Macaca fascicularis: one gene and its partners. The protein of the gene in region 3 interacts with the protein of the main gene of each other region in a pairwise test. Links are inferred from orthologs where the notes say so. Each region holds a gene or a part of one and is shown on either strand. Other genes may lie near its edges. The genes, in order: COPE, CACNB4, EFHC2, TSSK3, CLIC3, LONRF1 and PLOD3.

Evidence for each region.
Region 1: the proteins of EFHC2 (region 3) and COPE interact in binary tests that used the Homo sapiens proteins (3 or more experiments, as listed by UniProt). The two-hybrid records come from large-scale screens. The link is inferred for Macaca fascicularis from reciprocal best matches to the Homo sapiens genes EFHC2 and COPE.
Region 2: the proteins of EFHC2 (region 3) and CACNB4 interact in binary tests that used the Homo sapiens proteins (3 or more experiments, as listed by UniProt). The two-hybrid records come from large-scale screens. The link is inferred for Macaca fascicularis from reciprocal best matches to the Homo sapiens genes EFHC2 and CACNB4.
Region 4: the proteins of EFHC2 (region 3) and TSSK3 interact in binary tests that used the Homo sapiens proteins (3 or more experiments, as listed by UniProt). The two-hybrid records come from large-scale screens. The link is inferred for Macaca fascicularis from reciprocal best matches to the Homo sapiens genes EFHC2 and TSSK3.
Region 5: the proteins of EFHC2 (region 3) and CLIC3 interact in binary tests that used the Homo sapiens proteins (3 or more experiments, as listed by UniProt). The two-hybrid records come from large-scale screens. The link is inferred for Macaca fascicularis from reciprocal best matches to the Homo sapiens genes EFHC2 and CLIC3.
Region 6: the proteins of EFHC2 (region 3) and LONRF1 interact in binary tests that used the Homo sapiens proteins (3 or more experiments, as listed by UniProt). The two-hybrid records come from large-scale screens. The link is inferred for Macaca fascicularis from reciprocal best matches to the Homo sapiens genes EFHC2 and LONRF1.
Region 7: the proteins of EFHC2 (region 3) and PLOD3 interact in binary tests that used the Homo sapiens proteins (3 or more experiments, as listed by UniProt). The link is inferred for Macaca fascicularis from reciprocal best matches to the Homo sapiens genes EFHC2 and PLOD3.

Annotation. Positions count from the first base shown.
Region 1 is NC_088393.1:19,305,493-19,308,992, forward strand, and holds part of COPE (coatomer subunit epsilon), read right to left. Parts: intron 2,994-3,500; coding exon 2,912-2,993; intron 1,575-2,911; coding exon 1,419-1,574; intron 1-1,418. UniProt on the Homo sapiens protein: The coatomer is a cytosolic protein complex that binds to dilysine motifs and reversibly associates with Golgi non-clathrin-coated vesicles, which further mediate biosynthetic protein transport from the ER, via the Golgi up to the trans Golgi network.
Region 2 is NC_088386.1:47,398,582-47,402,081, reverse strand, and holds part of CACNB4 (voltage-dependent L-type calcium channel subunit beta-4), read left to right. Parts: intron 1-1,640; exon of another isoform or gene 1,641-1,642; coding exon 1,643-1,773; intron 1,774-3,500. UniProt on the Homo sapiens protein: The beta subunit of voltage-dependent calcium channels contributes to the function of the calcium channel by increasing peak calcium current, shifting the voltage dependencies of activation and inactivation, modulating G protein inhibition and controlling the alpha-1 subunit membrane targeting.
Region 3 is NC_088395.1:44,294,055-44,297,554, reverse strand, and holds part of EFHC2 (EF-hand domain-containing family member C2), read left to right. Parts: intron 1-258; coding exon 259-401; intron 402-3,028; coding exon 3,029-3,225; intron 3,226-3,500. UniProt on the Homo sapiens protein: Microtubule inner protein (MIP) part of the dynein-decorated doublet microtubules (DMTs) in cilia axoneme, which is required for motile cilia beating.
Region 4 is NC_088375.1:202,656,164-202,660,236, reverse strand, and holds TSSK3 (testis-specific serine/threonine-protein kinase 3), read left to right. Parts: upstream 1-1,273; 5' UTR 1,274-1,462; coding exon of another isoform or gene 1,463-1,609; 5' UTR 1,610-1,690; coding exon of another isoform or gene 1,691-1,824; 5' UTR 1,825-3,393; coding exon 3,394-3,975; 3' UTR 3,976-4,023; downstream 4,024-4,073. Other genes in the region: protein FAM229A, read right to left, coding at 1,171-1,273, 1,463-1,609, 1,691-1,824. UniProt on the Homo sapiens protein: Serine/threonine protein kinase required for spermatid development and male fertility.
Region 5 is NC_088389.1:2,334,291-2,338,101, forward strand, and holds CLIC3 (chloride intracellular channel protein 3), read left to right. Parts: upstream 1-1,352; 5' UTR 1,353-1,376; coding exon 1,377-1,409; intron 1,410-2,173; coding exon 2,174-2,283; intron 2,284-2,363; coding exon 2,364-2,489; intron 2,490-2,638; coding exon 2,639-2,745; exon of another isoform or gene 2,746-2,824; coding exon 2,825-3,309; 3' UTR 3,310-3,311; downstream 3,312-3,811. UniProt on the Homo sapiens protein: In the soluble state, catalyzes glutaredoxin-like thiol disulfide exchange reactions with reduced glutathione as electron donor.
Region 6 is NC_088382.1:12,657,745-12,661,244, reverse strand, and holds part of LONRF1 (LON peptidase N-terminal domain and RING finger protein 1), read left to right. Parts: intron 1-2,339; coding exon 2,340-2,492; intron 2,493-3,500.
Region 7 is NC_088377.1:49,857,740-49,861,867, reverse strand, and holds the start of PLOD3 (multifunctional procollagen lysine hydroxylase and glycosyltransferase LH3), read left to right. Parts: upstream 1-1,328; 5' UTR 1,329-1,485; coding exon 1,486-1,594; intron 1,595-1,973; coding exon 1,974-2,065; intron 2,066-2,222; coding exon 2,223-2,359; intron 2,360-2,442; coding exon 2,443-2,606; intron 2,607-2,746; coding exon 2,747-2,859; intron 2,860-3,609; coding exon 3,610-3,673; intron 3,674-4,128. Other genes in the region: ZNHIT1 (zinc finger HIT domain-containing protein 1), read right to left, coding at 525-546. UniProt on the Homo sapiens protein: Multifunctional enzyme that catalyzes a series of essential post-translational modifications on Lys residues in procollagen. Plays a redundant role in catalyzing the formation of hydroxylysine residues in -Xaa-Lys-Gly- sequences in collagens.

The DNA of each region.
Region 1 (3,500 bases), on a different chromosome or scaffold from region 3:
GGCGGGCGCCTGTAGTCCCAGCTACTCGGGAGGCTGAGGCAGGAGAACGGCGTAAACCCGGGAGGCGGAGCTTGCAGTGAGCTGAGATCCGGCCACTGCACTCCAGCCTGGGTGACAGAGCAAGACTCCGTCTCAAAAAACAAACAAACAAACAAACAAACAAACAAATAAAACCCAAAATCCGTTTCACCAAAATGGAAAAAGCTTTGATGTCCTTTTTGATTATAAAAATAATAACCCAGGCCGGGCGCGGTGGCTCACGCCTGTAATCCCAGCACTTTGGGAGGCCGAGGTGGGCGGATCATGAGGTCAGGAGATTGAGACCATCCTGGTTAACACAGTGAAACCCCGTCTCTACTAAAAACACAAAAAATTAGCTGGGTGTGGTGGCGAGTGCCTGTAGTCCCAGCTACTCAGGAGGCTGAGGCAGGAGAATGGTATCAACCCAGGAGGCAGAGCTTGCAGTGAGCTGAGATTGTGCCACTGCACTCCAGCCGGGGGACAGAGCAAGACTCCATCTCAAAAAAAAAAAAAAAAAAAAAAAAAGAAATTAAAAAAAAGAAAAAAATCCGCTGGGCATGGTGGCTCACACCTGTAATTCTAGTGCTTTGGGAGGCCAGGAGTTCAAGAACAACCTGGGCAACACAGCAAGAACAACCCCGTCTCTACAAAAAATAGTATTTTTTTTTAAATTTAAAATAACATAAACTCTTCATAAAGACTGCAGATGGTCAGGCATGGTGGCTCACGCCTATAATTCCAGCACTTTGGGAGGTTGAGGCAGGTGAATCACCTGAGGTCAGGAGTTTGAAACGAGCCTGACCAACATGGCAAAACCCCATCTCTACTAAAAATACAAAAATGAGCTGGGCATGGTGGCAAGCGCCTATAATTCCAGCTACTCGGGAGGCTGAGACAAAAGAATCGCTTGAACCCAGGAGGCAGAGGTTGCAGTGAGCTGAGATCACACGACTGCACTCCAGCCTGGGTGACAAAGCGAGACGCCATCTCAAAAAAAGACAAGAAAAGACTGCAGACATCAGACAGGAGACGACTGCAGCCAGCCTGGGCTCCTGGCCACAGCACGCTGTCCCCTAAATAAGGACTGGGAGTGTCTCTCCAATACTGAATATGTACTCAGGTGAGGGGTCCCACATGCAGGGCCAGGCAGCTGAGGTGACAGACCACTGAGGCCCAGGCTGCCCAGATGCCCCATTTCTGTGAGGCCGGAATCTGGATTTCTTTGCAGGTGCGATCCCTGCTTTGTGGATCTCGCTGCTGACTGGGCCTCAGAAGCCCTGTGGGGCCACACGCACACGCAGGGCATCTCTGCTACACTTGTTTCTGTTTGCCCTGACCCCGCCCTCCGGCCGCCTGGCCTTCCCTCCGTTCCCACTTTGGGACAGCCTTGTGCCTACCTTGTCTAGCGCCTCCTGTAGCAGGCCCTCAGCGGCCTCCCAGCGGCCCTGGGCCATATGGCAGGCCGCCTGCCCATTGAGCAGCAGCAGGGTGGGCGAGCACTTGTCAGCCATCTCCTGGAAGATGTAGTAGGCATCCTGCAGCTTCTCACCGCCCTGCAGGGAGGGTCCCACATCATCATCTGTGCTGCGGCCGCCAGGCCCTTCCACCGTCAGCCCCCTCCCCAAGAGGGGGCTCTGCACTGCACAGACACAAATCTGGTATGCCCGGTTCAAGGCACAGCCACTCCACCATGGGGACCACTCATAACCTGTACTCTGCTGACGGGGCCTAAAGACTCGCGGCCGCCTCCTGCCTCACCTCCTACCCGGCTCCCAGTGCGCTGGGTACACAGAGGTGGAATTTAGGGCTTCCAGGGCACAGGGGCACAGGTGGCTGGGCCAGGGTCTGAGTGGGGACCACTGGGTCACCGGGCACATCGGAGGAGGATGAGTCAGCTCTGTGACCAGCAACTCTGACCTGCCCGCTTGCTCAGGACTGTGGGATACTTGCAGGGGGAGCCTGAGGTCAAGGCAGGCTGTGAAAACAGTTCAAACTACCCGAGAGGGCTGCCGAGGCCTGTCCCACCACACTGGACGGCCACTGGAAGTCCATCTGGGTGAGGCTCCAGCCCCGTGGTGGGCAGGGACGGGGAGCACATTTCTTCCCCCCAGAGTTTTGCTCTTGTCACCCAGGCCAGAGTGCAATGGCACAATCTCGGCTCACCGCAACCTCCACCTCCCAGGTTCAAGCGATTCTCCTGCCTCAGCCTCCCAAGTAGCTGGGTTTACAGGTGGGTGCCACCATGCCCGGCTAATTTTGTATTTTTAGTAGAGATGGGGTTTCTCCATGTTGGTCAGGCTGGTCTCGAACCCCTGACCTCACATGATCCACCCACCTCAGCCTCCCAAAGTGCTGGTATTACAGGCGTGAGCCACTGTGCCCAGCCAGGAAGTGTATTTTAACAGGCCTGCACAAAAGAATGGCTCAGAAGGGGGCCAAGTCCCAGAAACCAGGAGGGGGGTGTTGCCAGGCAGAGGTGCCCAGGCCTGGGAGCTGAGGACATCTCCACCGCTGCTATGGGAACACTGAACCCTGTCCCTGGCTGGGGACCAGGACCCTGGAGAGCAAAGCTGAGTCGCAGAAAACCCCAGGAAGCCCTGGGGGGAGGAGGGGCTGCCAGGCCAACCCAGACCCTCGAGTCCCCCTGCGCCTCAGGCTCAGGAACCCCGTCCCCGTCCCCACCATCGCTCTGCCTCTGGCCAAGCCGCTTGGCTGTGAGAAGCCCGGAATGGAGTGAAGGCTGAGAGTTGTGCCAGGCTGGCAGGGGGCCATGGCCTGATCCTGGAGCCCCACTGGAGTGGCCGGCAGCCTGGGCACAGGTGGGGGTGCCCACAGACCCTACTCAGCCAGGTGCCCACAATGCCCGCCTGCCTCGTGGCCCAGGACTCACCGTGGCCAGGCTGACCCAGGCGGTGGCGAGCTGGGTGAGGGTGGCATCCTCGTCCAGGTCCTGCATTCTCTTCAGTTCCTTCCTGGGGTGGGGACAGAGGACGGAGGGGCTGAGCGGCCGAGAGCCCTGGCCTGGCTATCCCTGCCTTGTTCCCACTTGGGGCCCGCCAGAGCCCGGGGATGGCCCCCACTACGTGCTCCCCTGCGTGCTCATACCCCACGACGAAGTGCCCGAGCTGCCCTGCCCGCCCCACCACGTGAAGGCCCCGGGAAGGCGGGACTGGAGCCAGCTACGGACCCCCGAGGTGGCTGGCACAAGGTAGGGCTCGGGAGAGACTCGCTCCACGGAAGATGGAACGCAGGGAAGGGCGACGGAGCTACAGCATGAACAACTCTGAGGCAAGGGCTTTGGAAACGGCAGCAGGGGAGTCCTGGACCACCAGCCATGGCCTCCGACCTGGTGACGCCACGTGCAGGCCCCGCCAGCCCCATGGCACAGTTACAAGCTGGCCCAGCGACATGTTCCTCCGGGCACGACCTCCACTCCCTCCATAAAGCCCACTCTCACCCTGTGGGACAGGCCCACCACT
Region 2 (3,500 bases), on a different chromosome or scaffold from region 3:
TCCATTCCTCCTTCATAATGTATCAGAATCATATATACACACACACACATATATATATTTCACTTTTCTATGAGCTCAGCAAAACAAACTACATATCATTGTTACATTTTGAAAAAAATATATGTGTTTATAAATATATATGTTTTGGGTCAAAGTAGGAGAGAATTGTCTTGCCCAACACTGATAAAAACAGTAAAGGAAGTTTTTAGAATCATCTCCGGAGAGTTTAAACAATAGAGCTGATACCTATTTTGTAGAAGTGACCTAGCAGAAACCTTTCCTTGAGGCAGGGAGCTTGAACTAAATTGCTTTCTGCTCTATAATTCAGCAAATGTATAGTTAGAAATGCAATTTTACTGATCCACCAAATAAGCCCACATTGACAGACTCTCACCCCACACTGGTTGAAGCCTTTGCATAGACTTGGGTCTTGAGTTTACATGTCATGGAACTTAACTTAAATGGAAATTCTGGAGTTCCCCTTGGGCTTCAGAGCGTTTGGAAATTACTTGCAAAATTTCACATACAAATATGTAATATGCTCAGACTTTGTAAGAGTAGGCATCTTTTTCTTCAAGTAGTAAGTTGGACATTAATTTGCAAATCTATATTTGAAAGATCATGACTCTTCCCCGGTGAGATTACACTACAAATAGTATTGTGGAATTTTTACCTGAGAGCTTTTGACAAATTATGGACTATTAAATGTATTTCATATCAGACATATCCGTCTTGCCTTCCAGAGTCCCAATTACATTGGTGCATATTTATCCTTGTGAAATATGTTCTTTAAGAATTGGTTAATAATAAAAAAATAAAATAATAAAATAAAATAAATTAAAGTATAATAATAATAAAAAATAAATAAATAAATAAATAAATAAATAAAGAATTGGTTAGAGCTTCTTGACAAAGACCAAAAGAATCCAAAGGTTAGGACCAGACATTAGTCCAGGGGTTCACAAACTATAGCCCACAGGTCCAGTCTGACCCACTGCCTTTTTTGTAAAGAAAAGTTTTATTGAAACAGAGCCATGCTCACTTGTTGATGTTTGCCTGAGGCTGCTTTCACACAAGGACAGCAGATTCAACTAATTGTAACAGAGACCACATGGTCGGCAAAGCCTAAAATATTTACTACTTGGACCTTTACAGAAAAAGTTTGCAGAACCCTGCTTTAGTCTATGAATCTACCTCAGATATATAGAGAGATATATATACACACACACACATATATACACACACACAATATAGTTTATATAAAATATAGTACAGGTATATATACACGCATATATACATATACAATATAGTTTATATAAAACAGTATAGATATATAGACATATATGCACATATACATATACAATATAGTTTATATAAAATAAAGTATAGTATACTATGAGAGTATAGTTTATATAAATATGGTATATAGTATGATGTATACAATATAGTATACACATACATATAAAATATAATTTATATAAAATATGGTATACACATATACATATAAAATATAGTTTATGTAAAATATAGTATAATATCATATCTTATAAATAGCATTTTATTCTTCTTGTCCCCTAAGATTCATAAACAACGTGAAGATAAGTGAATTACTATTGATAGCAATTTTATTTCTGAATTCCAGAAATATAACAATGATTGGTGGATAGGAAGGCTGGTGAAAGAGGGCTGTGAAATTGGCTTCATTCCAAGTCCACTCAGATTGGAGAACATACGGATTCAGCAAGAACAAAAAAGAGGACGTTTTCACGGAGGGTACGTTTCCATCTTTTCTATGCACTTTTTTTTTGGTCAGAAAATTGGGTGATATTTTCAAGAGTGTATGCTGTCAAAATAGAAGATACTTTGCTGTGTGCAAGGTGTTTCTGAAATTGACACAGAAGAGTTTCAGATAGTTCTCTACCTTCTGTGCATGCTGAAGCCTAACACCACTGGAGACCATATGAATTCCATGGCAAAGACTGTTTTCTGTGGCCTCAGCAAGCCCTCCTTGGAACCCAGGCTTTCCTCTAGGAGAGTCACTTCGGGCATTCTTTCTCCACACAGTGAGTGGGAGCTGACCTGAACAAGCATTATGGCTCCTCTTGGTTCACTTACAGACTCTCCCTTAAGCGGGCACATAATGTGATGGTACGTGCAGGTCCCGGCACTGACAGTACCTTCTCCACCCCAGGCTTTTTGTGGCATCTCTTTTCCCCTGGTATTTGGGTGAAGACAGCTTCAGGTGAAACAACCTTTATAGTGAACCACTCAAGTAGCCATGTAGATCTCAGAGTGCAGGTATTTAAAGGCCCCAGGAACACAAGCACAGCTTGAGAGAAGAGAAACCAATTCATCCTGAGTCTGCATGTACCGTGTCGCAGCCTGCACTGAAGCCTTGATTTCATATGTGTTACAATTTTTTGAAAGCTCTAAAATAGAAGCAGCTCTTTCTCTTGACCCTCAACCTCTGTTTTCTGTTGAATGCTTTTCTATTTCAAAAAACTCCTGTGTTCTTTGGGCGCCCACTTTTGTCATAATAAGAACTGCTCCAACAGTAATAGGAGATCACAAAAGTATAGTTACCCCACTTTTAATTATCGATCTTTTTTAGCATATAACTTGCCAATACTATTATTAATATTAATCCCTCTTGTCCCTTGTATTAGTCTGTTCTCATACTTCTTTTTTTTTTTTTTTCTTAGACGGAGTCTTGCTCTGTCACCTAGGCTGGAGAGCAGTGGCGCAATTTTGGCTCACTTCAACCTCTGCCTCCCAGGTTCAAGCAATTCTCCTGACTCAGCCTCCTGAGTAGCTGGGGTTACCAGTGCGCACCATGCCTGGCTAATTTTTGTATTTTTGGTAGAGGTGGGGTTTCACCATGTTGGTCAGGCTGGTCTCGAACTCTTGACCTTGTGATTTGCCTGCCTCAGCCTCCCAAAGTGTTGGGATTACAGGTGTGAGCCACTGCACCCGGCCTGTTCTCACACTTCTATAAAACTGGATAACATATGAAGAAAAGAGCTTTAATTGTCATGGTTCTGTAGACTGTACAGGAAGCATGGCAGCATCTGCTTCTGGGGAGGTCTTAGGGAGCTTTTACTGGTAGCAGAAGGCAAAGCAGGAGCAGGTGTCTTACATGACTGGAGCAGGAGGAAGAGACAGGGAGGTGCCACACACTTTTAAACAATCAGATCTCACTGTAACTCACTCACTGTCACAGGAACAGCACCAGGAGATGGTGCCAAACCATTCATGAGGGACTGCCCCCATGGTCCAATCACCTCTCACCAGGCCCCAACTCCAACACTGGGGATTACATCTCAACATGAGATTTCCTGCGGACACAGATCCAAACCATATCATCCCTTTTTTTCTAAACTGTTTGTCTTCCATGCTTCTTTTTAGACACATGGGGAGCATGTTTTCCTGTCTTGGGGTCTTTGCATTTGCTGTTTTTTCTTACTAGAACCTTTCTCTTCACACTTTCACCAGGCCACTCC
Region 3 (3,500 bases):
TTATGACGTTTGTTTTGGGTTCATTTTCCCAATGTGTTACCCAGGACATGTGAAGAATGAGAGATATCTTAATATACTGAGAAAATTCCTCTGCATTTAGATTTAGAACCTTAATTAGAAGACGGTTGAACTCTTTCACTTTGGACAGTTTATGCCTACTCTATTAAAGCCATATTATACCTTTTGCAGACTTTTAAAGACATAATATGTGGAAGATTACCTGTATAATGCTGTAACTCTCATTTCTGTTCCATTTAGCTATGGCTTCAAAAGCAATATACTCCGTTTTTTTGCAAAACTAGTCACAGACAAATGTGTTGACTTGGACAGGATGTTTGTTATTTCATATTATCTCAGTGATGACACCATTTCAGTGTTTGAACCTATAGAGAGGAATTCAGGTAAGAGATATCCTTCTCACAGTATTTTCTTGAGAATGTTTTAAGTGTCTCTTCATGTTGAAAATTAGGGAACATGATCTGGTTTTGTAGCCTAGATTATCTACAATAGAGGCTTTATTTAAAAAAAAAAAAAAAAACCCGAACAATAGAGTTCTTTTTACAAATCTCTTAAATGGGAACCTAAACATTTAAAATGATAGAAGTGAAACAGTTTTGGTTGGCTTAGGGCCAGGGGACCTGGAGTTACTTCCTTTTTGCCACTATCCCCACTTCCACTGTGACTTCTGAGGCACCTCTGTGGAACCCAAGGGCTTCAAATTCATGGTCTGGGTACCACTAGTTTTACTTGTAGCCAGCAAGCCAAGAGGAAGTCTGCATTCTTGATAGTCCTACTTACAAAATTTTTGTTTGGCTGTAAGACAAGAATCCCAGATACACAAATTCAATCGTCAGGGTCCATCTTTATCTGGTCCTTCTGTCTGTTGAGGTTGTTGCCAAGGTTCCCGCACTCAGACCCATAGAATGCCTCTCTGCAATATGCTGGTACCACCGTCACTGCTGAGGAGAGCCATTGACTTACCCAATCATGGCACTGTAGGACCCTGTTCTTTGTCTCAACACGTTTAGAACTTTTATCTGTGCTGAAGACATGCATTTGGGAAGAATAATCAGTGATGTGCTGGTTAAGTGGCTCTTTGAAAAGATTTTAAAAGCCCTGATTTGTACTGTTTGCCAGTTTCCATGGTGTGAATACCCCAACCATGGCCAATTTCAAGCAGCCAAGAGTTTAAAAACTGGCTTGCAAAATCTCTGAAAATTCGACTCTCAGCTCCTATGAGCTGATATGAGCTACTTAGCACAGCGATGAGTAATGAATAACTTGTATAACTAAGGCTCCACAGTGATTTGAATAATGGATCAAATCTTAAAATATGAAATTGCATAGGGATGAATATAAGTCATGCTCTTACAGGTCAAAAATCAACTCTGTACACTTAGAATGGGGGAGATGTGGCCAAACAAGTTGCAGCATGTGTGAAACAGAAAGCAGTGATGATAGTCAGCAGCAAGCTTACTAGTAATCACAGTGGCCATGATGGAGAACTTACTATTATCCTTACAAGGACTTTATGAGGTTAGATTTTGTGTTAGTCCAGCTCCTCCGAGAAGCAACTACCAAGACAGGATTAAATGTGCAAGAGATTTAATAGGGGGAATGCTGGTGAGGGAAAATGTGGAAGGAGCCAGAAGAGGCTGGGAGAGCTGTCAGACTATAGTGCAGTTCTGACACCTGTGAAGCTCAGAGGGAAGGAAGAAAGAGGGAGTCTTAGACTGCAGTGAAATTCTAAGAAAATTTCGACAAGGTCGACAGGGAGTCCTTGAGGCAAAGTTGCTAGTTGGAGGAGTCCTTGTTTTGTAGGAGTGAGCCTGTCTTACTATCCCTGCCTTGGTCACTCATCTATTGGTAGCAGCCCGTGGGAAGAGTGACCTCAACACACACCTGAAGATTGATTTAAGAACACAACAGCTGGGGCCTTCCATCAGTTATGTTCTTCGCTATAGGCGACCTGAGAAGTACATTTTCTGGACCTCCACACATCTGATTCCCATTGTACCAATAAGAATTCAGAGAGATTAAATAACTCCTAAAGATCACCCAGCAAGTAAGTGACAGAACTCGGAAGCCTGTGTCTTTTTACCACCTATCATTTCTGAATGTGGTAGGAGAAGGGGGATGAAGTGGCCCAAAAGCTTATCTGGTCTCAGGCTATATTTATAGGTCTGTAGATTTCAGTTCAGTATCAGAAGATGCTGGAGTTCCCTGTTCAACTCTACTGGCTACTTTCCAAGAGGTCACAACAAATAATGTCTAGAAGAGAACAGATGAAATGGTGACAGCTCTGGAAACTAATATGAAGCGTTACTAAAAGAAGCAAAGGGATTTTACCTGTAGGAAAAAATGACTTAAGGGGACTCCCATAGTTACCTTTAAACACTTAAGTAATCTCCTTTACAGAAGTAGGGCATTTGCTACTTAATCTGCATGTCAGATTAAATATAAGACATCATCTGGGACAAATAGGTGGAAATATGCACAAGTGAGGAATTTTCTAACTGGTACTGTTCAAACATGCTCTAAAGATGAGTATCTTCCTGATGTTCCACACTCCCAGTATGCTGCTGGGCATATATAGGAGGTCCCTGCCAAGTGCTTATTGGACTGGGAAGAGAGTAGAGAGAGAGAAAAAAAGGCTAGAATTACACATCATTTTCTCTCTCTCTCTCTTTTTTTTTTTTTTTTGAGATGGAATCTTGCTATGCTGCTCAGGCTGGTCTTGTACTCCTGGCCTCAAGCGATCCTCGTGCCTCAGCGTCTTGCGTTGCTGGGACTGCAGGCACATGCCACCATGCCCGGCTTTGCTTTTTGTCTTGAACACCCTTGCCTAGGAATTCTTACTCCTTCACTCACTGCCTCATTCTTCCCTTAAGTCCAAAACAATAGGCAATATTAGTTCACAGGTAACTTATATGGTGGTCTGTGCTTGAAGATAAAGTAACTCTGAAGGCAAGTCAGATGGTTCTTTTAAGAATAAAGGCTGCTCATGAACTTTTCTATTTTTCTATAGGAATTACCGGTGGGATGTTCTTGAAAAGAAGTCGCGTTAAGAAGCCTGGACAAGAAGTCTTTAAAAGTGAACTATCTGAATATATCAAGGCTGAGGACCTGTACATTGGAGTCACAGTGAATGTGAATGGTTACCTATTTCGTTTGCTCAATGCTGATGAGTATACCTTAAACTACATGGAGCAGAATACAGATAAGGTGAATTTACTTTGTGTAATTCTTCACTTGCCTCTCAGCCCTCCGCAGTCTGTGTTTTTCTTTCTCTAGGGCCTTTTCTTCTTCATCTTGCCACCAGTTTTACATTGTGCATTCATACATGTGGGCATGAATAATGGATTCGTGTGACTTGGCCACATGTCCCATCACAGAGGCCAGGTTCTTGTCTACTCTGTTTACATGCTGGGTTCTCCTCTGCCCAGCATCACAGATTCCAGGCACAGGCAGGAGGCAGGGCCAGCGTTGAATCAAGTTTC
Region 4 (4,073 bases), on a different chromosome or scaffold from region 3:
TTTTTCTTTTTTTTGATAGAGTCTTGCTCTGTTGCCCAGGCTGGAGTGCAGAGGCATGATCTTAGCTCACTGCAACCTCTGCCTTCTGGGTTCAAGTGATTCTCCTGCCTCAGCCTCCCGAGTGGCTAGGATTACAGGTGTGTACCACCACACCCAGCTAATTTTTATATCTTTAGTAGAGATGGGGTGTCACCATGTTGGCCAGGCTGGTCTCAAACTCCTGACCTCGTGATCCACCTGCCTTGGCCTCCCAAAGTGCTGGGATTACAGGCGTCAGCCAGCATGACCGGCAAGCCAAGGTTTTTCAAATGGCCTCTCCCCCAATCTTTTTATGATCCCTTGTGTCCTAGGAGAAACCAAGTCTCAGGATGGACTAGGGCAGCTCCAAACCCTTCCAACAAGGAAGGCCCTAGGCGCCTAGGACCGCAAAGAGCAAGTCCCAGAACCATCTTCTCGCTGGAGAGGATTAAAATGGGCCTGGTGGGGCGTCTGTAGTCTCAGCTACTCGGGAGGCTGAGGCAGGAGAATTGTTTGAACCTGGGAGGCGGAGGTTGCAGTGAGCAGAGATCGCGCCATTGCACTCCAGCCTGGGAAACAGCGAGACTTCGTCTCAAAAAAAAATATATAATAATAAATAAATAAATAAATAAATAAATAAATAAATAAATAATGGGCCTGGTGTGGGTGGCCACTGGCTGTATTCTATGTTACTTGTCGGCCCACCTCTCCCTCCTGTCCCCCACTTCTGTGGGTCACCGGGGTCCAGCACAGTGATGTGAATTTCACCAGAGAACTAGGAGAGGGTTAGAGAGATCTCGGACAAGGGCAGGGCCCCAGGGGAAAGGCTGCCCAGCAAAAAATGGGAGGAGCGAAGTGGCATAGGTTGAAAGGTGGAAGGGCGGGCCCCTGGGGCTGTGTCCAAGCGAGGAGGCCGCGGAAGGGCAAGTGTTATTGGACTGGACAGAGCAGCTGGTGGGCCCGACGGATAGACATACACTGCCAGCCCGGAGTGGAAAGAACAGTTTATGCTGTGCTTTATTAAAATGTGCATCATTTATTTTAAAATGTGCATCATTGTCTCGTGCTCGGCGCATGCGACCTCAGCGTGGTGGCCCGCGGGGGGGCCTCGTTCCCGCCCAGCTCCCGCGGAGCCGCAGGGAGCAGGCGCACTCACGTGGCGCGGGCCCGGGGGCTCCCGCCCATGGCCAGGTAGACGTCGATGGGCACGTGCAGCAGCGTCAGGCAGTGGCATCCGGGGCAGCGACGAAGCGGCCTGGGGAAAGCGGGGCGCGACAGGGGGCGCTGAGGCGGGGGCCCGGCCCATCCTGTAGGGCACATCCAGGGAGTGCACCTGGGTCCCCGGGGGTCCGGATGTGGATGCGGGGACCTGACTGCTGGGGGCGCCAAGTGGGACCGAGGGCGGGGCCGCGGGACGGGCGGAGGGGGTTGGCGCGGGCCTCACCTGACCGGGTTGTGCTCCGTCGCTACCGCCTCCGGGCTGTCCTGGGACTCGGGGGAGGCGGCAAGGCCACGGGAGTCTCCGGCCTCAATGGGGAATCTCCGACCCTGCGGGGGCTCCTGGGCGCTCATGTCCAGGCCCCGGGGCGCTCTGCGCGGGGAGTGGCGGTCAGGCCTCTCCCGGGCAGCCGGGCGCCGCCGCCTCGCGCCCGCCCCCTGGGCCGTCGCTCACCTCCCGGAGGCTGAGACCGGTCCCAGGCTGGAAGCAGCTGCCCGAGCCCTGGCCGCGGGAGAACGCTCCGGTCCAGGCGGAGCCGGGCAGGTCTCTGCGGCGGGCCCGGACCCGGGCGTCGAGGAGGGCATCATTGTGACCCGGGCCGCGGCGCGCTGACCTCACAGAACCCGTTCCTCCCACTGGAGAACCCCCAACGGCGCCCCCGGCCGCCCCTGGCACTCAGCGCGGGCCGGAACCGGGGACTGGAGGGATCTGGCCATGGCGCCTGGAGACGGGGTAGCGCAGACCCCAGCCACCCGATGGGGGCGCAGCAGGCCAGGGCAACCCGCCGCGAGGCGGCGTCCACGCCAAGGAGCCGAGCCTTCCCGGCCCACACAGACGCCGAGGAGCGCCCTCCCAGACGGGGCTACGACTCAGTGCCTGGCGCGGGGGCGGGCTCGGCGGTGACTTAATCCGGGCTGGGTTTGGTGGTGGTAGTGAGGGCAGGTAGGGGCACTGCCCATTTTGGCCAAGGGTCACACAGCATTTACATCACAATTGCGCCGGAGCTTAAAAATGTCTGGCCCTCTCCCTCCCCACCACCCGCGGCTGTGTCCAGACAATGTTCTAACGCTGGGGGCGGCTGCGGATGAAGTCCTTGGGGAGAAAAGGAGCAGGCCAAAGGCGATGGTGGAGTAGAGCTGCCTCGCAGAGGCAGCATGAGCTGAGAGGGTGATAGGAAGGAGGCGCTAGACAGGATGGAGGACTTTCTGCTCTCCAATGGGTACCAGCTGGGCAAGACCATTGGGGAAGGGACCTACTCAAAAGTCAAAGAAGCATTTTCCAAAAAACACCAAAGAAAAGTGGCAATTAAAGTTATAGACAAGATGGGAGGGCCAGAAGGTGAGCTGGGGCCCCTTTGGAGGGAAGGAGGGCTGGCTGAAGGCGGTGGGTGCTTCCTCCTGTTGAAAAGATCATTCGATCACTCCCTGCGCCCACTGGCCTGGAACCAAGCAAGCCGGATGGCAGCTCTGGAGTGGGTCAGTGGGTAACAGAGGGATTCTGGGAGTCCAGGAACATTACACCCCCCAAAATGCAAGATTAAAGTGGCATGAGGTAAAGGATCCTCAGAGGCAAAAGCTGAGCCAGGCTTTCCTTTCCGGCAGAGGTACAGAGACTGGCAGAGGCCACAGCCAGGGCTAGTAGAGAACAGGGGCTGGTGCCAAGGCCTGTGGAGATGGGAAAAAGGAAGACAGGGCTCATGGAAAGAACTATGGGGTCAGGGGACAGCGGCGGGAGGAGCTGGCTCACCAGCCTGTGGACAAATCAGGCCTGCTAATTTGTGATTCTGTGGCTTTGTCTAAAAGCACCTAAAGCACCTTGATATCCAGTCTCACAGACTGCTCAACAGTCCACGAGGCTGGTGGGAGTGGTTCTTTTTTGAATGATACACTAATGACAAAAATAATAGAAGTAAACATTCTTTGCAATGTCCAAGCAGCTAGACACATTTAAGACCATTAAGGGAGCCAAGAAATAAGACCCAGACAAAGTGGGCAGAAGTTGGAAGGCAGGAGACAGGTGTGAGGAGGTGGGCCTTTCTGATCTGCCAGCCCATCTCTCCTCCCCTTACTTCCTCAGAGTTTATCCAGAGATTCCTGCCTCGGGAGCTCCAAATTGTCCGTACCCTGGAACACAAGAACATCATCCAGGTGTATGAGATGCTGGAGTCTGCCGACGGGAAAATCTGCCTGGTGATGGAGCTGGCTGAGGGAGGGGATGTCTTTGACTGCGTGCTGAATGGGGGGCCATTGCCTGAGAGCCGGGCCAAGGCCCTCTTCCGTCAGATGGTTGAGGCCATCCGCTACTGCCATGGCTGTGGTGTGGCCCACCGGGACCTCAAATGTGAGAACGCCTTGTTGCAGGGCTTCAACCTGAAGCTGACTGACTTTGGCTTTGCCAAGGTGTTGCCCAAGTCGCGCCGGGAGCTGAGCCAGACCTTCTGCGGCAGCACAGCCTATGCCGCCCCTGAGGTGCTGCAGGGCATTCCCCATGATAGCAAGAAAGGTGATGTCTGGAGCATGGGTGTGGTCCTGTATGTCATGCTCTGTGCCAGCCTACCTTTTGACGACACAGACATCCCCAAGATGCTGTGGCAGCAGCAGAAGGGGGTGTCCTTCCCCACTCATCTGAGCATCTCGGCCGATTGCCAGGACCTGCTCAAGAGGCTCCTGGAACCCGACATGATCCTCCGGCCTTCAATTGAAGAAGTTAGTTGGCATCCATGGCTAGCAAGCACTTGATAAAAGCAATGGCAAGTGCTCCCCAATAAAGTAGGGGGAGAAAGCAAACCCAAAAATCCGCTTCTAAAATGGTGATATATATTTTACGCCTTAAGTTT
Region 5 (3,811 bases), on a different chromosome or scaffold from region 3:
CCAGCGAACGGAGCTATAACCACAGTACGAGAAAGCCAAAATATTAGGTCTTGGAATCGAGGTGGAGGCAGGATGGAGGGAAACTGAGGCTCAGGACACCAAAGGATAGGGGAGCCACGTGGCATTTCCAAGGCTCCGTGTGTCCAGGAGCCCAGACTGGCATGGTATCCAGAGAAGTGTCAGGCTGGGCTGGCTGGGGCAGCACTGGAGTTCGGTCCGCCGGGGACGGGCGTGGGGCCTATACCAAGGCCCTGGGGAGAAGGTGAGCAGGCGAGCAGTGCCACCTCAGCTGCCCCGTCCGGGCTCGTGAGGCACCACACCGCCTGGGGGAGGTGTGGCCAGGCCAATCTTGTGGGCACCCCGGGTCTCTAGGTGGAGTCTCCCCTCGGTGTACCTCCCTGGGGCTGCCCCCCAAAGCATCAGGGCCCAGGTGGGATGGAGGCGCAGTTGATGACCCCAAAGGGCCAGACTGAACTGTGGGTTCCAATCACACCAGGAAGCTCAGAGCAGGCTCACACCTGTGGACCAGCACCGTCCCCTGGCTGCTTTCTCCCAGCCACGCAGGCTGTGGCTTCTACCCCGCTCCTGCTGCTTCTTTTTAAAGGTTAAGGGGTGGGGGTAAGAAACCTGTGCTGAGAGCCAGTGGGAGGGATGGGAGGTGGGGTGGAGACCTGCACTGCCGGCCAAACACCAAAGCCAGGCTGGCCTCCCCGCCCTGTTGCGGGCAGGTCTGGAATTTGAGCCCCGCCCTGAGCGGGGAGGGCCCTGCCTGACTGCTCGGTAGCTGGGAAGGGGCGGCTCCCCCAGGTGGGCCTACCACCCTTGCAATGCTCCGGTGCTGCAGATGGGGAACTGAAGCTAGGCTGGGCACCATTTCTCCTGCTCACCCACACCCACTGGTTTTCTGGGCTGGGAGCCCTGACAAGGGGTATTTGCCGAAGGCAGAGCCATAGGGCAGGTTCTGAGCTAGGTTCACGGTGGACGTGGTCCCGACCCAGAGCTACCCCCTCCCCAGGTGACACTCCCTGCACCCTTCTGGCCTGTAGGTTCTCCCTGTGCCCCGCCCCCGGTCTCCACCCACCACGCTGGCTGCCAGCACACTCCGCACTGGGTGGGTGGATCTCTGTGTGCACCAGACTCAAGTCCAAGGCAGCCCCCCACACCATTCCCCCACCCTGAGGTCACACCCTCAGGCTCAGATACCCCAGGGCCAGGCTGGTGTTGCTCAGGCAGCCAGCTCTGCGCGCTGGGCAGCTTCATCTGCCCGCCTAGGTGGCTCCACGGGGCGGGCCCCTTGGCCAGGGAGGGCGGGGCGCACAGGGAGACTTAAAGAGCGACCCAGGTCCCCACCCGGGCCTGACCGCGCAGCTCCCACCATGGCGGAGACCAAGCTCCAGCTGTTTGTCAAGGTGCAGGGCAGACTGAGCTGCAGGGAGGGTGGCTGGGAGGGGGTGCTCTTCTGGCTTTGCTTTCTGGGGCAGGTTGTGGGGTGGGCCTCCCCAGTAATGTCTGAGCCCCTTCCTGTGGGTGGCTAAGGAGACTCGGGCAGCCCTACAGAGGCTGAGTAAAGTGGGACCCAGAAAGTCACCCAGAGAGGGGTCCAGTGGCCCTGGTCCTGCTCCCAGCCTTGGCTCCTGGGCCCAGCCCAGTCTTCCGGAGGAGAGCCCCTTGGTGGGGAGGTACCAACCCAGCTGCCAGTGATGGAGCTTGAGGTCAGTGTTCCAGGATTGGGGGTGCTGGGCCAGGCAGCCCCATCAGCTCTCAGGTCGGGGACTGGCATGTGGGGGCTGGTGTGCTGCTGGCCACAGCGCCCAGTCTCATGTGTGAATCACTCAGAAAACAGCTTGTGGGGCCTACCCCACCCTTGCAACCAGCTTTTGGGGACTGAGCCCAGGGGCCTGGCCTGTCCAGGCTCTGATAAGATTCCAGCGGCCAAGCCCGCTCCAGGCTTCAAGGCTCCCAGCAGCTCTGCGTCCCTCCCCATGTCCTGGGGACCAAGTCAAGGGCCCTTACTGGGCACTTGGAAGTCGCGCCGACCAAGCTGGAGCTCTGGCATCCCTCCAGTCCCACTGGCAGTGGGAGGCGGGTCCCGCCCAGCCTGGTGGCAGGATGCCTGGGTCTGCTCCCAGCCCTGACCTCCCCCCCGCCACCGCCCGCCACTCCACCCACCCAGGCGAGTGAGGATGGGGAGAGTGTGGGTCACTGCCCCTCCTGCCAGCGGCTCTTCATGGTCCTGCTCCTCAAGGGTGTACCCTTCACCCTTACCACGGTGGACACGCGCAGGTGAGGTGCCATCCTGGGGACCCCTGCCTGGCCTCACACACTGGTGGGCCGGCCTCCTCCCACCCTGCTGCTGCCCACAGGTCCCCGGACGTGCTGAAGGACTTCGCCCCCGGCTCGCAGCTGCCCATCCTGCTTTATGACAGCGATGCCAAGACAGACACGCTGCAGATCGAGGACTTTCTGGAGGAGACGCTGGGGCCGCCCGAGTGAGAGCCTGAGCAGGGTGGGAGGGGAAGAGGGGGCGCCCAGGGAGGACGCGCACAGGACAGAGCCCAGGAAGGCGCTGTGGGGTACTGTAGGGCCGGGACGGGGCTGCCCCCATTCTGATGGAGTCTCTCACCCCCTCATCCCGCAGCTTCCCCAGCCTGGCGCCTCGTTACAGGGAGTCCAACACCGCTGGCAACGACGTTTTCCACAAGTTCTCCGCGTTCATCAAGAACCCGGTGCCCGCGCAGGACGAAGGTGAAGCGGGGTCAGGGGATTGGATGCCCAGGCGGGAGGGCGTCCTGGGCCAGGTCCTCACCTCGCCGCCCGCCCCTAGCCCTGTACCAGCAGCTGCTGCGCGCCCTCGCCAGGCTGGACAGCTACCTGCGCGCGCCCCTGGAGCACGAGCTGGCGCTGGAGCCGCAGCTGCGCGAGTCCCGCCGCCGCTTCCTGGACGGCGACCGGCTCACGCTGGCCGACTGTAGCCTACTGCCCAAGCTGCACATCGTCGACGTGAGCGCGGAGGGCGGGCGGGCGGGCGGGCAAGCCCGGCGCGCTGGGGGACGGCAGGTCCTGACTGCGCCCCGCGATCCTGCCCGCAGACGGTGTGCGCGCACTTCCGCCAGGCGCCCATCCCGGCGGGGCTGCGTGGCGTCCGCCGCTACCTGGACAGCGCGCTGCAGGAGAAGGAGTTCAAATACACGTGTCCGCACAGCGCCGAGATCCTGGCGGCCTACCGGCCCGCCGTGCACCCCCGCTAGCGCCCCACCCCGCGTCTGTCGCCCAATAAAGGCATCTTTGTCGGCAGTGAGGGTGTCCTGACATCTGAGGAGTCTCGTGATCACTTCCCATCCCCAAACCCCAGGGTGGGACGCTCAGCCTGAGAGCCCAGAACCACAGGGGCAGGAGAGCCGGGGTCGGGCGGGTCCCATCCTCCATGTTAAGAAAGCGCAGACTCCAGGTCTCCTGCAACCGGTGGCCTCAGGGATCTCCAGGACCGGATTGGGCTCCCAAACCAGTCAGGCCGGGGTGGGGCGGGGTGCCCCAGGTGGATAGGGGCTGGTACATTCCTCAATCCTGTCCGGGGGCAGGCACTCCCCTCCCCGCAGGGCACTTCCACAGCATCTCAGGGTCTGCACAGGCCTTCTCCTGTGTGCATCCTCCTACGGGGCTCCGTGCCCTGCCTGGGTGCGGCCTGGGAGGGTGGGAACAAAGTTCTAAGCCTTGGGGAGCCCTGGCCCTGCCTGGCTGGGCCCCTCTCAGCTCCTGGGCTGGCAGGGATGGAATAGCTGGATGGTCTGAGAGTGCTCACCTCCCTCCGGCC
Region 6 (3,500 bases), on a different chromosome or scaffold from region 3:
AAGGCATTATAAAAACAGATCTTATCCCGTCACTTGTTCATTGATCTGTTTAGGCCCTTCATTTCAGTTAACATTTATTGGATATTGGCATTAGGTATTTTCACAAACATTAACTCATAGAATTTTCACAACTCTATGAAATAGTAGATGAGGAAAGTATAATTCAGAGGTGTTAATTTGCCTAAGATCCTATAATGTAACAAAAATGATTAAAGCAAACTCTCTGACTCAGGCTCTGAGCTTTAGCATTATGCCATTTGGCTCTCTGCTGATAAACCTGATTAGTCTGACGTTGGCTGTCCTATCTTATTATAAAAATGCATTGGGGTACTTTGCCCTGTGCAGTTGGCCAAAAGTATTGTGTAAGTTGAAATTTTGAGTTGATTGGTATAATCTGTGCCAACCTTAAGCATACTTAATTAATGGAATCACTTGCTAAAGGTTCTCCTTTGTAAAGTTAATAACCCTATTTCAGTTTCATGTAAAGTTATGTCTTCACATATTGGATTTGATGACAAAATCACTTGAGTATATGGCTAAATTACATGACTATATGTATTAATACTTATAAACATGTAGGCAATGGAATCACATTCTAAAAGTATCACAGATTTGATATTTATAAACTTGTATAAATTTTTTTTATAAATTTTTTTATAATTATAAATTATTTATAAACTTGAGTCCTCTTTGTGGTCCTCGGAATGTCCAGTAATTTTTCCTCATCATAATGTCTTCATCTATATAGTGATTTTCTTGTCCATTCTGGAAAACCTTCTCAGATTTGTTTTTTATAGCAAATTTTCCTCTTCTTATAATAATTCTGTTTTCTGTGACTTCTAATGAAATTTTAAAATCTATTAAAATTATCACAGTAAAGTACTTTGACTTTAAAAGCTTGCTTTTAAAAGGGAGCTGGCCAAAAAGCAGGCAGAGACTTGCAGAGACGCTTTTAAAGTCTCTGCCTGCTTTTTGGCCAGCTCCGTTTGTCATCACAGACTCTTATAATTGTTATCATTCCTTGTTTACTAGAGCCTGTCATTTGTTTTCTTGAATTTTGTGAGGGTGCAGAGTAGATGCTTAAAAAAAAAAAAAAAAAAAAAAAAGATTGAACAAGTCGTAAGTTTTGTTTCTTGCTCCTGTCAGTGTATGTTAGCAACGGCCCAAATCTTGTGTAGTCATTTCAGGGCCACAATTCTTTAATTGTGTGGCTCCTCTACCTTTTTTAAAAGTTTATTTTTATTGTGGTAAAATATACATAAAATATACAATTTTAACCATCTTTAAGTGCACACTTCAGTGGCATTAAGTATAGTCACATTGTTATGCAAAAAGCAGATGCTCTTTAAACTTTAGTTTTAGTTTTCATTTCAAATCTTTCCGAAGTAAAAAGTATGCCTTTTAGTCTCTGGTGTGCTGTAGTCTTATTTTTATGTTTCAAAATGTTTTCGGAGTCCCTTTGTTGTTTTTATATGAGTCATCCTTGAAGTATGAAAGGCTGAGTCAGGCCTGGTATTTTTTCAGATGAGTTTGTGCATATGAGACAGAGCAGGACCTGGCACGTAGCAAGTGGGATGTAAGTGTGCATTAAAGAAATCAATATAAGATGGATGAGTTAAACTTAGATATTCCCACCTGTGTTCTCTGAGACTACCCTTCTATCTCAGGCTGGAAGCCTGATGCAATTAATTTTACATTTGCAGTTTGGTGACCCAGTAGTCTAAAGAATACACTGAGGGGTTCCAGAGGTAGCCATAGCCTTGGGCCTTTCCAGCAGAAGTTCATCATTGTGTAACTGACTCTCTGACATACTGGCTTTATATGCTAACTTATTTGTTATAGCTTTTTGTTTGTGTTTGTGTTTTGACCCAGTTCCCTAGCAAAAGATGTAACTGTGCGACTACTTTCTGTCATGTCATCTACACCCTAACCACTCATCTTTTCTTTTTTGTAGCAACTATCATCCACTTTTTTGTGCCACTGCTTTCAAAAGCCATTGATCCATAAAGACAAAAGGAATTCCAAATTAGTGTAGACCTTTGAACCAAAACGCACTCTCCATCTTACTCCTCCCACTTGGGGGCTCTTGGTAGGGTTCTGCAATGTTGCACTGCTAAGTCAGCAAGGTTAGGCATAGGTCAGGCCTTGCTGTCTGTCTTTAGTCTGGTCAGCCCCATATGAGACAGAAATATGTAGTATAGCATAGGAATAATACTCTCTGGGAGGTCAGCACTGAAACAGATATTGCCCTGTTCTTCTGATGCCTTTTTCCATTTGTGTCGGTTGGCATATGGATGGGGGATTAGACACAGAAGTCTTACTGACTATTGTATTTCTAGGTTGAGGATGAAGATGAGATTAAGAATCTCAGAGAGCTTCATGATTTGGTTTACTCTCAAGCCTGCAGCTGGTTTCAGAATTTAAGAGACAGATTTCGAAGCCAAATTCTTCAGCACTTTGGATCAATGCCCGAGAGGGAGGAAAACCTTCAGGTATGGTGGCTTTTCTCTTCTAACAAAAGTCACTTTTTTGTAAACCTAAATTTGCAAACTTCTACATTTGTTTTTTCACTGTCCTTTCTGCACTACATTTTCTTTGACTACCCCCTCCCCCGCACCGGCCCCACCTGGTTTAGAATCATGAGTGTTCTAGAGCAGTGGTATCCACTACATTCTGTACAGGTAGAGGCTGGAAATAGGTGTCAGCTGAGATGCCTGTAGCAGGGAGTGCCAGAGAGGGAGCAAGGCCTTAGGATTTTTAGGAGGGGTAGGAAATTAAAAATCGGATGTTACTATCTAGAAACTGTGACTGTGAGACAACTAACTATGCCTTCAAGCCCATTGCCTGTTGTTATTCTTTGACAGCAGCGAGACTTCCCATTTTCTATACATTTAAAGCATCTTTTCTCACCTTTCTTTGTATCTCCCAACATTTGACCCTGCCACTTCATTTTTGTCTCTTCGTGTTTAATACCTCACTCCTCATGAAACTTCCTCTTTTAATCTCGCTGGTACTTAGGGTTTACACTTAAGCTTAGTCTAATGAATGTGTATCTGGCACTTTCTGTGCAAGCAAAACTGCAGGAGGCATAGAAGAAGGGTCTGGTTCCTGGAAAATCTGATCATAGACTCACTAAAGCACTTCGTTTTAGGCATAAGCATTTTGAATTGAATTAAACGTTTTTGATCAGAAGGTGATAGACTTTACAAAGGAATGGCTGTCAGTAAATATGTGAAGATGGAGAGATAATAGATCTCATTGTAATGCACATTGCCTCATTCCCGTTTTCAAGGGTTGGTCTCTGTCTCTCTGAATCCCAAGTGAATCCTTCACCTCAACTTGAAACACCAACATTAGGCCATCTCCAAATTTAGTATTCATTCTGTTTAGCATATTATCAGTTGCCATCTATTTGTTTTAACTGATTACTTGAATCTGATTAAACATTATAGAAATAGGCTTTGATAAGAACAACATTGAATAAGAAATTTTAAATAACA
Region 7 (4,128 bases), on a different chromosome or scaffold from region 3:
CCAGAAAAAAGCCAATGCTTGGATAACAGGGATCTTTCTCCTCTTCATCCCCAGCGCCCGGTTTGGGGCAGGCATCAATAAAACGTGAATGGTCAACGCCAGGACCCGAGGGCTAAGGAAGGGATTTAAGAGGAATAGCTGGGGCCGGGCGCGGCAGCTCACGCCTGTAATCCCAGCACTTTGGAAGGCCCACGCGGCAGGATCGCTTTGAGGCCAACAGTTGGAGACCAACCTGGGCAACACAGCGAGAGCCCGTCATCACATAACAAATTAAAAATTAGCCAGGCGTGGTGCCTCATGCCTTCAGCTCCAGCCACTCGGGAGGCTGAGATGGGAGGATGGTTTGATCCCAGTAGTTCGAGTCTGCAGTGAGTTATGACTACGCCACTGCACTCCAGCCTAGGTGAAAGAGCGAGACCACGTCTCAAAAGAAAAAAAAAAAAGAGGAATGAATAGGTAAGAAAATTCTAGGACTGGTTTGGACTTGGGAAGGGGAAGGGGGCGAACCGCGGGGGCTCACATACCCGAAGTTTTCTTCTCCACCATTTGCACAACACAACTGTCGGAAGAGACTGCTGCGCACGCGTACTAAACCCACGGCGTTGGTAGGGGCGCCATCACTTCCGGTGGCTTGTACTTCCGCGCGTGCGCCACCGCTTTGACTCATTACGTGGCGTTTCCTTGGAGACAAGAAAGCTTTTTGCCATGTTTTATAGGGGCAAAACTACTTCCGGCCTCAGTGTGGAGGTGTAAATCTTGTAGGAGCCACGAAATGGGTCATTTTAAAGATGTGCTCACGGTGTTCTTACGAGAAACCTTATTTTCCTTTGGTCCTTGTGAAGATGCTCTGATCACAAAGGCAGACCCTGGAGCTTCTCCCCGGGCAGAAAAGGAAGTGGGCCGAACTGTCAAAGAAAGTGGCTTTGATCCCAGCGGACTGGCTTCCGTGGGCAATCCGAGGTTCCTAGTGGCCCTCTGCAGAAAGCTCAGCTCCCAGTTCCCCCAGGCCTCCGTCCCGCGGCGGACTCCTGGGCTTCCTCCCTCCCTGTCGCCGCCACCCCCTAGCTCTCCCCGTCTTCCGCCCGCACTCTCCCGGCAGGGCTGCTGCCAGGACCCGCCCCCGCGTCCCTCCGGACCCACCGCCAGGGGTCACTTCCCCTGTCCAGGTTTCAGCTTCCACATGTGTAAAGCGGAGGGCTCGGCCCAGAGTCGCTGTCTCCCGCCCGCCGGCCCGAGCTGCCGCCCCTCCCCCGCCTCCCGTGCGCCCGGGACAATCCTCGCCTTGTCTGCGGCGCCGGCATCTGGAGCTTTCTGCAGCCTCCGGATACGCCTTTTTTCCAGGGCGTGGCCCCAGCCCAGCTGCTCCCCGCGGCGGCTGCACAGCAGCCCGAGCGCCCCCTTCCCGGAGCTCCCCTCCGGAGCTGGGATCCAGGCGCGTAGCTGAGGTCCCAGGATCCTGGGTGCTGTCTGGGCCCGCTCCCCACCATGACCTCCTCGGGGCCAGGACTCCGGCTCCTGCTGCTGCTGCTGCTGCTGCTGCCCCCTGCGGCCTCAGCCTCCGACCGGCCCCGGGGCCGAGACCCGGTAAACCCAGGTGAGATCCCGGGGAGGCCCGGCGCGGCCAAGGGGGCAGAGGCTGACGTGCCTGCCATCCTGGCCCGGAGAGGGTCGGGGGCTCGAGGAGGTGTCTGTCCCGTCCGCCGCCCAGCGTGCTCTTGGGGCTGAGTCGCGCCAAGCCCCTTGCCCATTACCACCCTGAACTGAGGTTTCCAGCCTCCCTGTGCAAACGGACTCGGAATTCCTGGGCGCCACTCCCACCCTGTCCTCCCTGGGGTCAGAGTGTTCCTGGGTGAGAAGAGTTTAAGAATGGGAAGGAAGAAAGGGAGAGAAGTCGAGTGAGAGGGAGGACAGCAAAGCACGTGGGGCCCGGAGCTGGGCGGTGGATCCCAAGTGCCAATTCCCTCTGGTAACAGAGAAGCTGCTGGTGATGACTGTGGCCACAGCTGAAACCGAGGGGTACCTGCGTTTCCTGCGCTCTGCGGAGTTCTTCAACTACACCGTGCGGGTGAGGAGAGGGAAAAGCCTCTGGGAGGGGGTCCCAGCAGGAGGGGTAGGCTGAAGTCTGGATGCCCAGGTCCCCACGGTGAGCCTGGTCAGGAGCTCCCCCCCTCCCCCCCGACAACTCCCCACCCCTTGCCTGGCATGAGGCATCTTCTCCGCAGACCCTGGGCCTGGGAGAGGAGTGGCGAGGGGGTGATGTGGCCCGAACAGTCGGTGGAGGACAGAAGGTCCGGTGGCTCAAGAAGGAAATGGAGAAATACGCTGACAGGGAGGATACGATCATCATGTTTGTGGACAGGTAACAGGGCTTGGGATAGGGAGCAAGGTAAGGATGCTGAGGTTCCCAGTGGACCCCTGCTCATCCTCCCCTTCCTCACCCAGCTACGATGTGGTTCTGGCCGGCAGCCCCTCAGAGCTGCTGAAGAAGTTCGTCCAGAGTGGCAGCCGCCTGCTCTTCTCTGCGGAGAGCTTCTGCTGGCCCGAGTGGGGGCTGGCGGAGCAGTACCCTGAGGTGGGCACGGGGAAGCGCTTCCTCAACTCTGGTGGTGAGTGGCAAGGTGCCCAAGGCAGAGGGGCCAAGAGCGGTGGGACAGAGTGTTAAAGGTGCCTGAGGGCTGGAGAGGGCCTGGGGGACAGGCCCTGGGACCCTGGGAGTCTCGGGGTCAACACTTCCCCTCCTCACCAGGATTCATCGGCTTTGCCACCACCATCCACCAGATCGTGCGCCAGTGGAAGTACAAGGATGATGACGATGACCAGCTGTTCTACACACGGCTCTACCTGGACCCAGGACTGAGGGTAGGGAAGACAGAGGAGTGGGTGCATCCCACACCTCTGTGGGAGTGGAGGCCTCAGGCTGAATGGGAGTGGAGGGGCAAAGGGAGCTGTAAAGAGAAAAATGTGTGCCTGGGCGTGGTGGCTCATGCCTGTAATCCCAGCACTTTGGGAGGCTTAGGCAGGAGGATTGCTTGAGCCCAGGAATTCAAGACCAGCCGGGACAACATAGTTGAGACCTCATCTCTACAAAAAAAAAAAAAAATTAGCCAGACTTCATGGTGTACACCTGTAATCCCAGCTACTTGGGAGGCTGAGGTGGGATGATCACTTGAGCCTAGGAGTTTGAGGATGTTTTGCACCACTGCACTCCAGCCTCTGTGACAGAATGAGACTCTGTCTCTCACAAAAAAGAAAAAGCACGGTGGCTCACGCCTGTAATCCCAGCACTTTGGGAGGCCGAGGCTGGTGGATCACTTGAGGTCGGGAGTTTGAGACCAGCCTGGCCAACATGGTGAAACCCTGTCACTACTAAAAATACAAAAATTAGCCAGGCATGGTGGTACTCTCCTGTAGTCCCAGTTACTTGGGAGGCTGAAGCAGGAGAATCGCTTGAACCGGAAGGCAGAGATTGCAGTGAGCTGAGAGCATGCCATTGCCCTCCAGCCTAAGCAACAAAAGTGAGAGAAAAAGAGAGAGAGAGAGAGAAGAGAGAAATGATGTCCTTCCCACTCCTTCCATTTTAACTACTCTATCGCATCTCATTCCGTTTAGGAGAAACTCAGCCTTAATCTGGATCATAAGTCTCGGATCTTTCAGAACCTCAACGGGGCTTTAGGTGAGGAGGAAGACAGCCGCAGGTGGGCAGTGCGCAGCCTCTGCAGCTTGGGGTCTTGAGCTGGGAGAGGCTTCTGGAGGAGCTGGGCTGATCTGAGTCCACCTCTATGTGGTTTTATTGGGCGTCTGAGTGGCTGGTTGTGTGAGTTGCACTGTGCTGATGGTACTAGAAGCAAGGGAGGAAAAAATGTGTCTGGCATCTGTTGCACACATGCTGCACCTGGGCACCAGGCCAGGGGCTTTTTTTTTTTTTTTTTAGATGGAGTTTCGCTTTGTTGCCTGGGCGGGAGTGCAATAGTCCAATCTCAGCTCACCGCAATCTCCGCCTCCCGGGTTCAAGTGATTCTCCTGCCTCAGCCTCCCGAGTAGCTGGCATGCGCCACCACGCCTAGCTAATTTTGTATTTTTAGTAGAGACAGGGTTTTACCATGTTGGCCAGGCTGGTCTCGAACTCCC